Linked DNA regions of Drosophila melanogaster. The protein of the gene in region 2 interacts with the protein of the main gene of each other region in a pairwise test. Each region holds a gene or a part of one and is shown on either strand. Other genes may lie near its edges.

What was found. Proteins that work in one complex are often made in the same cells at the same time.
Region 1: the proteins of CG8065 (region 2) and vir-1 interact in a two-hybrid assay, tested with the Drosophila melanogaster proteins (one large-scale study listed by BioGRID).

The regions. Positions count from the first base shown.
Region 1 is NT_033779.5:12,418,067-12,427,166, forward strand, and holds the start of vir-1 (virus-induced RNA 1), read right to left. Parts: upstream 5,374-9,100; 5' UTR 5,257-5,373; intron 3,797-5,256; exon of another isoform or gene 3,764-3,796; 5' UTR 3,639-3,763; coding exon 3,575-3,638; intron 1-3,574. Other genes in the region: Fam92, read left to right, coding at 6,872-7,011, 7,063-7,222, 7,277-7,417, 7,473-7,943, 7,995-8,270.
Region 2 is NT_037436.4:10,210,380-10,218,276, reverse strand, and holds CG8065 (uncharacterized protein), read right to left. Parts: upstream 2,613-7,897; 5' UTR 2,566-2,612; coding exon 1,978-2,565; intron 1,918-1,977; coding exon 1,603-1,917; 3' UTR 1,297-1,602; downstream 1-1,296.

The sequences.
Region 1 (9,100 bases), on a different chromosome or scaffold from region 2:
GATTACTGACACTCCGCTCCGCATAACCTTCTTGGTGCGATTGCTCCGTGTTAATTCCCCCCAGTTTGTGCTGACTATGAGCAACTGCCTCTGCTTCTCCGGCGACTGCCTTCTGTAATTTATTTCTGATTTCGGGTTTGCGCCATGCGTGGCTGAGCATTAGAGGCGCTTGCACATTTTGCCAGCACATAAATTAACATAAAGAGGCGGCAAACTGCGAGGTGAAAGGGGCCTGGGGGCGTGGCAGAGTGGGTTAGTGGGGGGGGGGGTTATAACCCTCCAGGGAGGCCCTGCGGCGATTACGTGACATTGAACCAGAGCCAAAGTGGCTGATTCTGATGGTTTCTAGTCTGCCGTTGCAGTAGTTCTCAATCACAGACGACGAGAGTTCGAGTCACCGTCTAATTGGACAGGGACGCGGACGAAAGGGGTAGGGGGGGGGGGGCTGCACTTAATCCCTTCGTGACATCTGACAATTGCAATTTAGCCGGCGATCCATTGAGAGTCCAGAGTCTCTGGCCAGTCGGCTGATCTATTGTCTCACGGTCGTGTTGTTGGCATTTCATTGTTGATTAGGCAAATACTTACAAAGCAGCAACAAAAAAATGCTTAATTAAACTATTCGTTTGTTTTTACAACTGCCCAATGATGACTCATGTTTGCCGTAAGCTTCTAGTTTCTATACACTTGTTGAGATGAGAAATGCGCAGATTCAAATGAATATAATGCATTTTTAATGTACGCTACCTGGCTAGTTTGGAATATAAAGTATTATTCATAAGCCGCTTTAAACTTTGTAAATATTCGCCTCATTTTCGAACGCGAATTTCATTTCGTTCAGCTGGCTTACAATTACCAAAGCCAGGAAAACAAACACATTCTCGTGTACTTTTTCACCCATTAAAAATAGCAATCACGATACAACGATAAAGTTTTCGTCTAAAATTGTATGGGTTTCAATTGAAAGTGATTAATCATTGGACTGCAAACTAAACACTTGTTGCGCTAAAAAAAATAACAAGTTTCACTGCCTCTTAAAATTGCAGCATCTTTTGAAATTCATATAGAGCCAACTAAAGTTATCACTTCCTTTGAATTTAATTTAATTGTTTAATTTAACACAAGCCAATAGACGTTGCGGTAAAACCTAAAAACCCAACAAAAAGTGCCAAGCTGTTGATTTCATTTTCTACGAATTAATGTAAAGCCAAAGTGACAAGGCCAATAATAAAACTCCTTGGCACAATAAACGAATTACATTTGCCAGCTCAAATTCCAAAAACAAAACAAAAAAATGAGGAAACATTTTATTTTAATTTATATGTAGCCAGTCGGCGTTGTTGTTTTCAATTCAATTTACAATTCATATGAACAAAGTTCAATTTATTTGTTTTCTTTTACCGCAAAAGTCCAAAATTCCAAGGCAATAGGTTAAGTCACTTTAAATTAAAACCCCAAAATGTACGCATTTTATTTAGTTCGCAAAAGTGTTTTCTACTTAAATGATTTGTTCATTCAATTGGCTTTGTTTTCAATGCTTTAATTTAATATGCATTTTCTGACTTGGCTGTTAAATTCGCAAATTAAGCAGTCGGCTTAGATTTCTAGGAAGAACAGATAAAACTTTAAATGTATCTGTGTTATCAACGTTTAGTTTAGTTTTAATTGAATTGTCAATTAGATAGTGTTCTTACATATTCAGAAATAAGACTTGAATTAATCTTCAATTAAATGACCACCAATTTTTCATAACCAGCTTATTGCCCCATAAAAAAACTGTGAGTATTTCCACTTCATAACAATTGCAACTGATTTAGGCCAGACACAAAATGTTAATTATCTCACTATATATCATACAATTTAACCAAAACATTTGTATGGGCTCGAAAATTAACTTCAATTTGCATAACAAAATATCCGTCTAAATTAAACAAATTGCCCGTCTATTCAGCGGCAAATGCCAACAATGAAAAATACATGTAATAATTCACCAATAATTTTCATAATTGTTTTGAGTTTTATTACTCCACACATAGTTCCACGTACGAGCAGCAGAAATTCGAAAAAGGAAAAAAAAAAGTGATTTATGTGAACATGCAATTGCAATTTGTTCTGGGGCAGAGAAAGACATTCCCTGGAAAAAGTTCTTAAAAGCGAATTATGGCCACAATTAACCCAATTCTTTTGGCCATGGGACACTGACATGAAGCGATCTCATAAAAAACCAAATTAAGAAAAATAAGAAAACAAAACAAGCGAAGAAAAGTGCTCAAGAATTTCACTTGCAATCAGCCAGAGAAATTGGGATGACTTGAGTGTATAATATGACAGTTCATTCAACCGATTCCGAGTTTGTTGAAGAATGTAACAATATTAATTTAAATTTGAAATATATAATCCAGAATAGATTAGCCTGCAGATAAATCCAGTATATCCACAATTATCGTGATTTAATTGGTTACGTAAATTATTTTAATTGGATATGATTCTATTCTCAGCATGTTCAGATCGCAAATCATTAATAATTAAATAGAGAAAACAAATGTTTAAACAGTACTAATCTGACTTATATGCACAGTAGTTAGAGTAGCTACTATGTGTATTTTGAAATATGTAATAAAAAACATTGTCTCATCAATTTACGAAATATTTCATTGCAATTTCAAGCACTCATTGCTAAGATGATTCTCAAGCAAGATTTGCCGAAAAATTGTGATTCACGAGTGTTGCATAAAATTTGTATATTCCTGGCAAATGATTTGGACAGCAACGAATTTGACAACTTCAAGTGGCTGTGGCAGCTGCCAACCCGCTGCCACGCCCACTCCCACCATTCCGCCCATCTGTGGGGGTATCTGCGATTCGCTGGCAGCTTCTTCAGCAATTTATGCATTCAAGTGGCAGCCAAAGGCAGCGAACAGCAAACGCTGATGATGACAATAAAGGACGCTGGATCTGCGATGCTGCGCCGAGCATTCCTGATATTTTGCCATTTGTAGTTACTTGTGTTGTATCTGTAAGATGCATTTGGCTGATTGTCAAGTGCCACGCTTTGTTATCAGCATGCTGACATCATTATCCGGCAAAGGCAGCGACTTTAAACTTTAATCTGCTGCAGAGTGGAATTAAAACATTTTTTCATATCCAACAGATTGTATTTACTAATAATTACGTATTATATGCATAATAATTTATTTATATTGCTCCAAGTCACAATTACATCGAGGTAATCTTTAAGATTCTACCAGAATATTCCAGATCAAGAAGGTATAAGAGGAACGTACTACGTAGAAGAGTGCAAATCAGAATTCCCGGTGCTTATCAATTTTCTTTGTTTTTAAAGTCAAAAGGTTGACTGTGTTTTTTAATAACTAATTATGTGCACATAAAAATGAGAAAGTAAAGAGAAGGAAAACAAATATGTATGTTGCATATGTGTACAAATTGCATATTAGTTAGTTCCGTTATACGTATTACTTAGGGCAAGTTAACATTTAGTTTTCAAGTATTAATCATTTAAATGTTAATTTATGAAGTGCATCATGATTGGATTGCTTTTAAGCCTTTCACTTACCTGGCAATGTGAAAACGCCGCTAAGGGCTAGCACGGTCATCAGCAAACCGAACAAGAGCTTCATTTTTGTTTGGTTTTTTTTTTTTCACAAGCTTATAATTTGTTTAATTTGTATAGTTTATTTAGGGCTGAAAGCTTTGATGCGTTGATGTGGACCGGCAACCGGATTCGATTCTGTTCAGTTTTGTTCTGTGCGGAAAGACAAACAATCGTCAAATGCGCTTAAATGATTTGAGGAAGCGGCAAATAAACGGCGGCCGGCTGAGTGAGTGAGCGAGTGAGAAACCGAGTGAGTGACTAGCTGACCGCTCTCTTGCTCTCCCTCTCACTCAATTAGCCGCTGGGCTTATAAATATTCCAAATGGCAGGCGGCAAGTGTTGTGGGAAGAGCGCTACACTGTGCCCGTCAACTGGGTACAATATTTGGGGACTCCACTGTGTACAGAATGCAGCGTATTAGTAATGTTCTTAGGCACATTTAAGTTAACTTTTATTTTCGTTACACCTTTTTGTTTCCGTTATAGCTTACTGGTTCATTAACTATTGTATCTACTACTATAAAAAATATAATATAATATAACTTTATCTTTATAATTATATATATATAAAAGCAGTTCTAAAAGGGCATTTGCTACTAATATTTTAAAATTTCGATTAAAAGGGTGTTTGAAAGTCGCCGTTGCTCATTGAACCTTTTGTAAATTTAGTTGTGTTTTCAATTTACTTAATCAGTTTTTGTCTATGCTTCGTTAGCTGCACGCGGGCTTCTCTATTCCACTATATTTGTATTTCAGACTTTAAATGTGTCCCTGTCACAGTTGCTGAATGTTTCAGTCGCCCCATTCGTATTTCAATTCCACTTCGATTGCATTGTATGGAACTATGTCTATTCAACGGCTGCTCGAATCACCTGTTAAATGCGCTTGGTGTTTAGTTCAAGGTTGTTGTTTCTGTAAACAAAAGCATCATTTGCTTATTTCCCTAATGGGCAGCTATTGAGAATTTTCTTCCAAGGAAATGAAAACGGAGCTAAAGACTATTCTCAGTAATTAAATGGTTATGATAGAGTGCTTCTTTTTAATTCCATCGATAAAGTAGTCACGCCTTGATTGAGCCGGGTTTAATCACGATTTTACTAACGAATATGCCAAAGATCGGCAATTTATTGGAAATCTTTAGTTAATCCGATTATGAATGATCTTTTTGACCCGAGAGAACTTACGATATAACACCCAATTACAGTTCTGATAAATATAAAAAGCCGTAAAGAATTTGTATAATTATACACTGATTTAAATCTAGAATGTATTATAATCTCAAAATGAACTGGAATTTTTGCACATCAGAAAATTATTTAAATATCTTGCCCGACAGTAAATTTTTCAAGGTCTTCAAAATTAGCAACTATAAACTTTAAATAGCATTTTTAATGTCTGATAGTTTTAGAAAGCTATTGTTTATGTTGGGCTCAGCATAAAAGTGAGCACAAGTAAATATTTCGCAAACAGCTGCGTGAAGTAAATTAGGCATCCAAATTATTGCCCAGACAGCCTAAACAAGCTGCAAATTGTTTGTTTGTAAACATTTTTGTCAGCGCCGAAGCGGAAATTGTTCACGCACACAATTTCATTCACATACACATGCCGACAACCGCGAATTTGCATAAATTTTATTATTGTTACCGGTGTCATACAGTTATTTCTGTGGATCGCTTGAATCACTCGATTTCGAAAGATCGGAGAAGAACGCGCGATCTTCAACGTGCGTTGGCTTTAATGAAACGTTTCGGACTAAACGGTTGCGTACGATTTTGGCTTCATTTATACCAGCTCACGTCGTTGGCACTCAAAAAAAAACAAAGAATTGAGAAGAGAGACCGGGAAAGGGAGGAATGCGCAGAGAAGAATACGAGAGCGAAGAAGGGTCTTCCGAGTGCTCCAAATGTGCATTCAACAATGTTTTAATTAAAAAAAAAAAAGAAAAATAACTAAAGAACTTTCAATTTTATATTTTTACAACAGATCCACTACCAAAGATGCCCCATCCTGTTTACCCAAAAAGTAGCAGAAATTTTACAAAAAGAATATTCATTGACACGTCAGTGGGAGCAAAAATGAATGTCGCCAGCGGAACGCGAATGTCCTCCAGTGCAGTCCCTTGACCAAAACCGTTGGAGTTCGAGGTGTATGTATAAAAATCAGAAATTCAAAGCGGATGGCCGACAGCGCCGAGAAAGAGGCGGGGATATAGTTAGCGACAAGGAACGCGCGCCAAGCTACGTTCTTGGATTGACAATGAAGTCCACCTGCCCCCTTTTACCTGAACTTGCCTCTTGGGAGCCGTGTTGCTTTATGGTTTTCGACCAGATTGAAATCGCGATCGGCGCAGCTACAGCTGTTAAAATCTCCTGCAGGCTGCTCTTCATGCTCTACAACTTGTAATTCTTGTCGTGGTCCCACGAACCGGATTCTGTTTTAACTACACTTTCGTTGGTTTTATTCGAACTGCTATTTTCGTTTTACTAAATACAGGTTTGATTGCACTATGCCTTTAAGTGGCAGAGGAGCATTTAAAATAAATTACCATTTTCGGTTAATCGTTGACACAACATTCTTGCGGTCGAGTCAATAAATTCCCCAAAAAACAAGATTTGGTTGTCAAGGCTTCGAAGTGAGAAGAATTTGAGTCAGCTTAGTCCTACATATATTTAAGTGAGTAAAGCTTGGCTTTTAGGACCAACGATATTTTAAAATATCAGATTGACTTGTTTTTAAATAAACTATTTACAATGCTATGATCTTCAGGTAAATATCGTAGTATATTTTCTATTTTTTTATATATACTAATTATATATATTTTTCTTTATCATTTGCAGTCTCTTAATTAGTCATAAATCTTTCGAATTTAAATTTAGACACCGGATGACAGACAGAAACACTCACAGATTATAACGAAACGTGCTCTTGACCTTGACACTGTTGGAAAAAAATGAAGTACCCATATTCAGATATTTATTTTAGGATTGAATATTTTTAGAATGTTTTAAATTTCCTTGATAAACTTTATTCTTGCGCCATCTATGTACTTGCAGAAGACGCTGATACTAGCGCCACCTGGCAGCAGTAGGTTCTTAACATTTCTGTTAATTTTACAGAGCTGGAAATATGCTGGCTGTTCGAACGAGAGTTGCCAGATGAATTTAGACGTTGCCTTGGTAACGGTTTTCACTTGATTTTATTGTCGAAATAAAATAAATAAAGAAGGAAAACAAATATAAGGGACTAAAATAAAATAATAATGTTTCGTCGTGGAAAACTATCCTTTCTAAACACCAAAGATGACCGTGTTAAAATAATAAACGAGCGCATAAACATAACAGAAAGGCATCTAATGGAGATGTGCTCTTCGTTTGCTTTGGTAACGCGGAAAATGGCCAAGTGAGTTTGGTAAATAAATAAATCTGAATGAATAATCATAAGACCTTGCAGATATCGGGACTCCTTTGATGAGTTGGCCAAGAGTGTGAAGAGCTACGCCGACGACGAGGAAATCAACGAGAGTCTCTGTCAGGGACTGAAGAGCTTCACCAACGCGGTTACCATAATGGGTGATTACATGGACATCAATGTACACCGATTGGAACACAAGGTGAATTATCCTTTTTTAAATCTGCATCTTATATCATATTATTGACTTATGTAGATTGTCAACGAGTTGGCGCAATTCGAGCAGCTTTGCAAGTCCACAAGGGACAATCTTCGACTGGCTGTCATAGCGCGGGATAAGGAGGTACTACGTCAGCGCCAGATGCTTGAGCTCAAGTCAAAGTTTTCTGCGAACAATGTGGGTATTAAAACGAACAATTTACTTCTTATATAATTCCCAAAACTTACCGTAGAGTGCCGCCGATTCGGAGCTGTTTAAGGCCAAAATGGAGGTGCAGCGCACAAACAAGGAGATAGACGACATTATTGGCAACTTCGAGCAGCGGAAGTTGCGCGACTTAAAGCAGATAATCAGCGATTTTATACTGATCGCCATGAAACAGCACACCAAGGCATTGGAGATACTCAGCGCAAGCTACTATGATATTGGAACCATTGATGAGCGCGACGATTTCATTGAGTTTCAGAAACTCATGAAGACCAAAGAAGAGCTGGCTTCCAGGAAAACTGCACTCAAAAAGGGACTGCGCTCCCAGTCGATGGATAGCTTGGAGCACGAGCACCTGGTCAGTCCGCTCAAGAGGCGCCCGAAGTTGTCCAGGAGCAATAGGAATCTGACGGGAGCCGGAATCAATCATGGAAGTAAAACAGAACCCGAAGATGAAACCGACGAGCAGGATGAAGAGGAAGATGATGAAGATGAGGTATGATTTGGCATGATTATGGAATGATAGAATAACTCCATTCCTCCCAAGGAAACCGAGCAAAGTGGCGAAGAGGACGAGGAATCTGGAACGGCAACGGATGACGAGAGGGAACCCACGCAGCCGGGCAACCAGGTTCCTCCGCGGGAGAATGTTTTTGGGGCCAAGATCCGATCTGCCAGCAAGGATATAGCCACGCCATCGACCAGTGCCAGTGCCACTTCTGCTCCTTCGAAGCCCAGCAGACAAACGGTCAAACATCCATTCAAGGCGGTGGCCTCCACCCATGTAAGGCTGCAGAAGCAGTTCCACGTGCCCCAGCACTAGCACTCAAATTATGACCAGTAGTAGAGTTCCTAGAGCTCACATCAGTATTGCAGGCACATTCTGGAATCGTAGCAAGAGCTTAAATAAAATTGAATTAGGAACATACTTCTAAGGGTTTATCTTAATTGGTTTTTGTAACCCCGCAGTCTCAGAGCTTCCTTTCATAATTTAATCAGAATGTATTACCACTCTCTATCTCATTGCCTTAAAAAACATGATATGTAGAAGCAACACAAATTGCAATTAATATTCGAAAATCATTCTGGTCCACAAATCAATGTTGATTTTCCTTTTAAAAGTAGGGATTGTTATATAGCACTCCTTGCCATTCAGCGCTGATTTCCATACACTTTTTATTAATGGACACGGGTCACGATTTGCATTATTTGTCCCAGATAAACAATACTAAATATATGCATATCATAACTAATCAAGCGGAAATGACGCGCTTCTCTTCCCCTTTTCGCAATAAACTTTCAGGTGAGGAAACACAAATCGGGAACTGGTCGCCTGGTAACCGTTGTTAAATCGAAGTCCTGAACACCCAAATAGCAGGGAATTTACAATTCTTGAATTTTTAATTTATAAATAGAAACTAAACGGCAATAATTCAAAATTATTGGCCATTGCTCACAAAAGAATTACTTTACTTAAATTATGATGTGCCCCGACCGGGCGAAACTTAAAACTAAGCAATAAATGGATGAGCAAATGTGTTCTTTTCTTCATTTCTTGGGGAGCAGCTGGGTGCGGAGGAGATTAAATGAATGTGAGAACCTGGAATTGTAAACTTGATACGGGTGACTGGGTGCCAGGTGTTCGATGTATGT
Region 2 (7,897 bases):
CAGTTGAGATGCAATAAATCAATATCCACCGAATGCTGGACTGCAGTTTCTGTTGTGGGTACCGCTTCGCTCCGCTGACTGACTGGACATCCGCCCCAGGATCCTTGGAGAAGCCTCCGTAAATCACAGACAATTGGATGACCATGAGGGCAAAACTTTTAGCTAGCCAAAGTATTTGGCCAACTGTTGTAAAACAATAAAACGGAAGGCATGCGATGGGCAAAATGGGAGTGGCAGTGAGGGCGACTGGGGCGGAAAACCGATGCCGAGATTTTCAAATACTTAACACCACTTAAGCGAACAGTTGGACAATGACAATGACGGGGGATTCGGATTGCGATTGGGAATTCCAAAGAGTCCAAGGTGGGGATTTGATTGTTAAGCGTAATTTAGCGCAAGAATTTTTATTAAAATTTCCAATTTGTTTGCAGATAAACTTTTATGCTGGCCGCAATGAGTTGACTGGGTGATCGATGGACTGTGCTGCTAAATGGTATAATGGTTGGGCACGCAGTTGAATGAAACCTAAGACTATATGAAGATGACAAGGGAGTTATGAATGTCTGAGCTTTCCCTTTTAGAACAGAGCAAGTTTCCGTGGTCTCGAACTCCCTAACTGCGTTCATTTGACTATGAGCCCAACTATATGAGAAGGCTGCAGGGTCAGAGGTTTGAGCAAGTGGCGCACAAGTATTCCAGGTATTCAAACGGGCAACAAAAGAACAATGGACCCGAGAAGTTGGCAACCAGGACATGTGCAGCCAATGCGCAATATCGGGAATAAAGGGCGTAACACGGCGTATCCTTGCTCAACAGCTGCCATAAAAGTTTTACTCCAACGAGGCCTCCAAGCACCTTCAACACTTGGGGAGGCCACTAATTAAATTAAATTTTCGGCTTCACATTCGCTCGATGAATTAAGTGTCATGTCAAAGGTGAAAGGTAAGGGCTCCATGGGCAGAAGACTTTCGTGCGGAAAGCATTTCCTTGCGAGTCCTGTGGACACGGTCCGTTCAATTAATTTGGCCACAAACTTTGCTCGGGCTGTTGTTTGCCCAATTTGATGGCTGAAATTTTCGGCCCGGAAGGAGTTTCGTTCATGACAAACTTGTTGCTCCCGTTCTTTGGGGAAATTCCCAGGTCTACCGAGTTCTGAACCCTTGTCAAACGAAAAATGAAGCTCCGCTAAGGTGTCAAAGACATTCTGGCCATCAATTTCATCAGATCGGAACCCCTTTCGACAGCTCAATACTCTCGTAAAATGAATTCAAATTCTAATTCAAATTTGGTGCCCATGCATTTGGTGGTTTTCCCATTTTTATTTTTGCATTTCAGTTGAAGTGGCCACTGCACACTAAAATTTTGTCGGTTAATTACGTTCACGGCTAATTGCATTTCTGTGGCTTAAAATGCCGCAAAATTTGTTAACAAAATATTTGCAAAAACATTTTTGCACAATTAGCCCGATCATTGTGTGTTTTATGCCGCATGTCCGTGTGCGTATTCATTATGCGCATTTTTGCACCCGTAAAATGCGAAACTAGGATGCCCGTTTAAATTACAATATTGGCGTTTTTGTGGTTGACTGCATTTTTAATTATCTCAATCGGAAATATCGACAGCGGGGGTGTATTTTTCCTGCTTCGCCAAAGGAGCAGCCCAGGCGAACTTGAAGGATCTTCGCTCCTTTTCAATTGAGCTCCTGCGCTTGGTCACCTGGGTGCTCTTGTCCAGCAGCAACGATAGCTCCGATATAGATGGAAGTTCCATGGTATCAAAGTTCTTCAATGTCAGCGCTTCGTCCACCTTCTGGGTGTACTTCAATAGCTCCCCGTGGCATTTCAGTAGCGTTTTCCGGGATTTACTCAGAGCGCTTACCAAGTCATTATAATCCTGCTTATTGCATATAAGAGGGGCCTTGAGGTTGGATGATAGAATTAGTATTTATAAATAGTATGCTTAGAGAGTTGCCAATACCTTTGATGCGAAACAGAACTTCATGTTGGTTTGGATGGGTCGGACGAAGTTGTCACTGTAGTCGAGGTAGTTTCCTCGGGAAATGTCCAGGTCATTATATCGCTCCAAACACAATCCCGTGTTGTGCTTCAGTTCCTCCTTCCACTTGGGCACTTCGAGCAGCCTCTTGGACAACTTTCTGATGCATCGGATGTTTTTCCGTGCCTTTTCGTCCAGTCCAGTCAGAGAGTCAGTTGTCTCCTTGAGTTGGCGATTTACGTCGATGATCTGCTGTAAAGCTCGTACTGTGTCCTGTTGTACTACTCTCAGTTCGTCGTTGTCCGAGCTAGACTGCTCGATGTCCAGTCTCATCTGGTCACTTTCTGGAGGACATTCGACTTTGTTTACTTGTACTGGATGAATTAGGAGGCTCTTCAAATATAGCACACGTTCTCTCATCCTTTCCAGCTTATCGAAAGTCTTTGAAAGTTCCAACTCCGATGGACACTCCTCTTCTTGAATTGGTATGTTATCTAGAGCGGAGATGCTGCAGTGGGTCAGTTCAGATTCACTAGGAGTTTCTAGCAGTCCAGGAGCCTTGCAGTCCATATTTTTAATTTTTTTTTAGCTTACTAATATATGTTCTGTGTAGTGTGAATGTGTACTAAGTCATGGAGTGCTCTGATAAAAATATGCTATATTACTTTTGAATTTTTTTTATTCAATAAACTTTGTGTGTTGCATATGAATGAAACTAAGAAAGTAAAGAATACCTTCCATAAAGTTTTACGTTTTAACGGTTCTTTAAATTCTTAATTTATTTACCTAATAAAATTACTTATTACCAGGATGTTAAGATCATTGTTTCCAGTTTTGGTATTTATGCCTTCAGCGTTTTAATGAAAATGCCTGGCCAGAGTGCCACAAAGTATGTAGCTCGCACAATGTTGCATGCAGTAGAGATTCTTCTACTTCGGAAAAGGGCACACACCTGAAATTTGGCCAAAAGGGGCTGAAATTCCCTGCTGCTAATGATTTTTAATAGCCAAATTGCAAGAAGCTGATGCTGCAGTGGGTCTCAGCTGCCTTCGTCCTGGAAATGCCTCTTAAAAGCGTATTTGTGGTAAGACTCCAGGCACACACACACACACACACACAAATTCTCTCCATGCGGTCAATAAAGTATGCAAAGTGGTAGCGGCAGGTGAGGGTAAATGTGGGCGGAAATGTGGGTGGAGTGACCATGCTGACCTTAAAAACAAATTAGTGGCGCTTACTCAACAAGATTGAGTGGCTCGTGTATCGCTGTCATCGCCGTCGTCATCATTGGTATTCTGCTTTTTGATCAGGGGCAAAATCAGAAAGGGGGGTTGGATTTTATTAACCAGATGTTATTAAACCCTCAATTTCATAATAATATGGATTTAAATATGTTAGCTAGATAAATCATTTGTAAATAATAGTCATCTAAAATGAGATCTAAATATTAACATATTTACTTTAGCTAGTGTATAACTGTATTTTACTTATTTGATTACCAAATCAATTAAAATAAAGTCAATTAAATTGCAAGCATTGATGAAACCAAAATCCATATTAATGAATCTAATTATGAACCCCTTAATTCATATTTTTTCGCGCCACTGTCCATCGACTGCGTACTTTGCTCTTGCAACCGAAGCAAAAAAGGAGGAAAAAATCGGAACTTAATTAATAAAAGAGCCTGCGGCCGTTGCTCCTTGATCCTGTGACTGCCTACAGCATCCTGCTGCCAGAATGCATCTATTTATAGGACCCCATATATTAAGTGATGAATATTCATGCGTACTCAGGGGCCAACAAGGAAAGAGAACTACGACCACTCCGATGACGCTGCAAATCAACAGTCGAGCATAATTTTTGTTAATAAAAGCGTGTAATAATTTGCCGCCAGCCGAAAACATGAGTCGCGGGTCGGAAAGGGGGAGGGGGGGTGCCGAAATGCCCAGAATGTGTTGCAAATGAAATTATGTAAATGTGACAGCGGCAGCAGCAACAACACAGATGTATCTGCAACTGAATTTTGTATCCTTTTTGGGGCGACGAACAGCGGTTGAACCACGAATACAATGGAATAGAGGGGACACTGGTGGTGGGCGGGCACAATGCCTACCACATTCTCTGCCAAAACATGGCTTAATGTTGATTAGATGAATTAAACATGCAAAGCCCAAAACCAGCAGCAGTTGTTGTCGTATTTGGTATCTCTGGGCCAAACAATAAACGGCAGCATAAAATAGATATGTCCGTCCATTGCGTATTTACTGGGCTTGTGGGGTTTTCTGGTGGAAATGAAATTAGTGCAGCCTTTTAACTTTTGCGCGGCAATTGAATAACTTTAATTGGTAATAAAACTAATACCACATTAAGCCGGAAATTGCGAAACTGCAGATGGCAAAGCCAATAGCCAATTGCCAATCACCAATCACCAATCACCAGGGTCGTTTCAAAGGGGTAACTACACAAATCCGCAATTCCCCTTTTTGGCCGCAAGCTGTTTACGATCCTGCCAACTTTAATAGTAAATAACAACAATAACAAGCGCCGCAGGAGCAGCTGCTCAAAGTTTCAGAACAATACAAAAAAGAAAAGGGAAATTCAGGGAAAACCAGCAGTAGCTATACCCAGAGAAAAATCGGAGGAAAGAAAAGTTGGAAAACACTTTACTTTGATGACCGTCCAAGTCTTATGCTCTCGACGTTGTCGCCATGGCTGCCATTCAAATGGCTCGCTTAATTTTACCCTCACCGCGGGGATTGTGGCAACTTTTTAATGACTCCTGGACATATTGTCCGCCCAGGTTGTCATTTCATCTACGCCTCGTCGGGTGACAGGCTCAGTGCGATGGAATCCACTTTTCGGGAATGCCAATGTGACAGTTTTCTTTTAGGTAAAAAATCGGTGTTTCTATAACCTGGAAATTGTAAAACAGATTCCAAAGGAAGTACGACAAGGTTACAAGAATCTATTAAAGCAGAAAATATGTAAAATTTGGAATGCTAAGGTAGTTTTCTTACAACGAAAAAATCACTAGTAATATTACTACTGATGCGCATTTAGAAATCTACATTAAATAATATTTCATACCAGATCATAAGATTAATTTGAGATTTTTAGAACTTCTTCACACCTTTGTATTCCAAACGAAATTAACAAATTGCTTAGACATAAAGTTTGTATTGTATTTATTTAAATATTCCTAAAATGAAAGGGCACCAAATAGTCAGCGATGAGGCAGATCGACTGCATCCATTTTTTCAGCCGATGGCTAGGCTCAATCATTATTGATTTCCTGAGTGGATGCCCCAATCGCGTTCGCAGACTTATCTGGAAAAGGGTGAGCTCCAAGTAGCACTTGGGGCGCTTTGACAAAAACTTTCTTTTGTACATATTATTTATGCCCGGCTCCCGGGAGCTCGAGGTGGCGGTGGATTGGATGAAATGGGTGGTCAGGGGTCCCCTCAATACAAGTGGCTCCTGTCACGGCTGTTATTGCTCTTTTATTTGTATTGGCTTTGGGCCTGGTTGCTACATTTTTTAATTTATGTAGCAGCTGTTGCTCCGGCGTAAATGTCAAATGCATTGGTTTGCTTTTTGTTTTCCTTTTTAAAGGGGCGGTTGGAATTGGGAGAAATGGTATAGAGGGGTATAGAAAGTCAAAGCCGAGGACTCATAATGTGTTAAGTTTTTGCCCCGACGAGTGAGTGGCTCGTGCTCGAGTTGTTGGCAAACAGTTTGGCTCCTTGGCCAAAACGCCGCTCCACTTCGTCCAACTTCGAGCTTTAAGTGGCACTGAAAGTTTTACCCAAAAGAGGCCAGCAAACTAATTATTTAGTTTCGCTTCGTTCCGTTTGGCAGCGGCAAATGCCAAACGTCAGCCAAATATCAATAAAAACTCCAATCGAGATCTATTTCAATTAACTTGTTAAGAAACTTTTTAATTAACGGCACTGCAGCTCCTGTACAATTCCTTTTCCCTTCTATTGCCCCGCTGAATACAGCCTGAATTTATGGCTGCTCCTAATTGGGCAACAATAAAGCAAAGGAAAAAGGACTTACATGGGGGGGGGGCTTTAGAAATGGACGAGTCCTGTGATATGTAAATGTTTATAAATCAAGTTGCGACTGTTGGCGGTGACAAGTGGTCGGCCGAATGGTCGGACACTTGAAATAAATAAATAAACGAGCCGGCGACCTGTGTCCTGGTTAGTTCAACATTCCGATTCCCCCTTTCATTCCGTTTCGATATATTGTAGTTCCACTTTTACTTTTACCCTCATCAAAAATAGACTGAGGGGTATTTTTTCAGCCTGACACCTTGTGATTTAAAAGCCGCAACATATGAGTCGGGGATCCATGGTCTTAGTGATTTATACGGACCCCGTTGATTTACCGCCACAATGGCTATTAGTGGGTCCAGAAATCCCACTCCCCAGAATCGACACTCGATTTGCTGCTGTCGACAATTACATTGTCTAGACCAAGGCAACTGTCAAAACTAGATGCTTCTCCAGGACTCTGAGGACTTTGGGGCAAGTCGAAGGCATTGACTTCAAGTCGATTATAGAAATGACAAAAGCAGCTTGGCAATACAAAGCTAAGTAAATTCGAGTTTTTTAGCCGCTTGATAAATTGTGATTGTGCCACCGGCTTGGAGCTATTAATAAGATAAATGAGCGTCAATAAGTGGCGCTGGCACTTCGATTTCATTCCCGGCTGACTTTTCGACTTCCTCTGGTACAACGCGGCGTATGCGTAATTACCATTTCATATGCATTAAGAGGAGCTTCAGTCAACCCAACCGTTTAATAGTCAAATAAGTAGCACAGAGGAATACGCCTATAATATAAATACTATGCGATTTTATCTACCTTTGAACAAAGTTACAAAAAATGCATATTTTTTTATAATAAATAGCTTGAAGCTGTAAGAGCAAATTTCATTGCATATTCAGTATAGTACACTCATTATTTTATTTTTCAAATGAACTTACAATTTTTTTAAGTGCTCTTGGATAAATTACTCGTATATGAGGTAGATGGGGAAAAAGGAGCGGAAAAGGGAGGTTCAAAGTGGGTAAAAGCGAACTGAAGCAGGAGAATCCGTTCCGATGTCATTAAGCGCATTTGAAAAATCATCAACAATACAAACGCGATGCGTTGACAATGCTGCCAGCTTGGACGCTAGCGAAATAAAAAAATAAAAATGGAACCGTATCAATAAATTGAAATGCGATCAATAATAATTATGATTGGGATTGGGCGATTGGACGATTGGTAGCCAGACATGCGAGGCGCGGGAAATTCTCAAAGTGAATACACCGAATAATTGCGTTTCCATGCAATTGCTCAATTCCACAAGGAGTCGCTGCCTATCGGGCACAATAGGGCGATTATCGATAAGTGAAATGGGGCTGCAGAAATAATCATTAAAGAATGGCTCCTCGCAAAACGGATGACACACTCAAGTTCTCAAAGGGCGATGGAAATAAGAGCTTCGGGCTTTTTCCAGAGATGAATGCTTAACAATTACTTATCGGCGGAAATTAAGTACTTCAATGGATAGAACAAATGAAATTTGTATTTTATGAAGCTTTTTATATATGTTATTAGCAATCAACAATGATTACATTTTAAATACATTAATATTAAATACGTTTTTCTAAAATTCACCGCGAAGTTGCAACAATTTTTCTATTTAACAATTACTATCTTTCATAAACCATTGTGCATAAATCCATTCAGCCATTGTGATATCCCGCAGAGTTCCGACCGCAAATTCCCATCGATGTTCCCATTGTTCCGGTTCCCTACTTTCCCACTGTCCCGATACAAATGTATATATATAACTATATATATGTATATATAAGTATGAGTAGCCACGAGCAACCGTCAATGGCAGC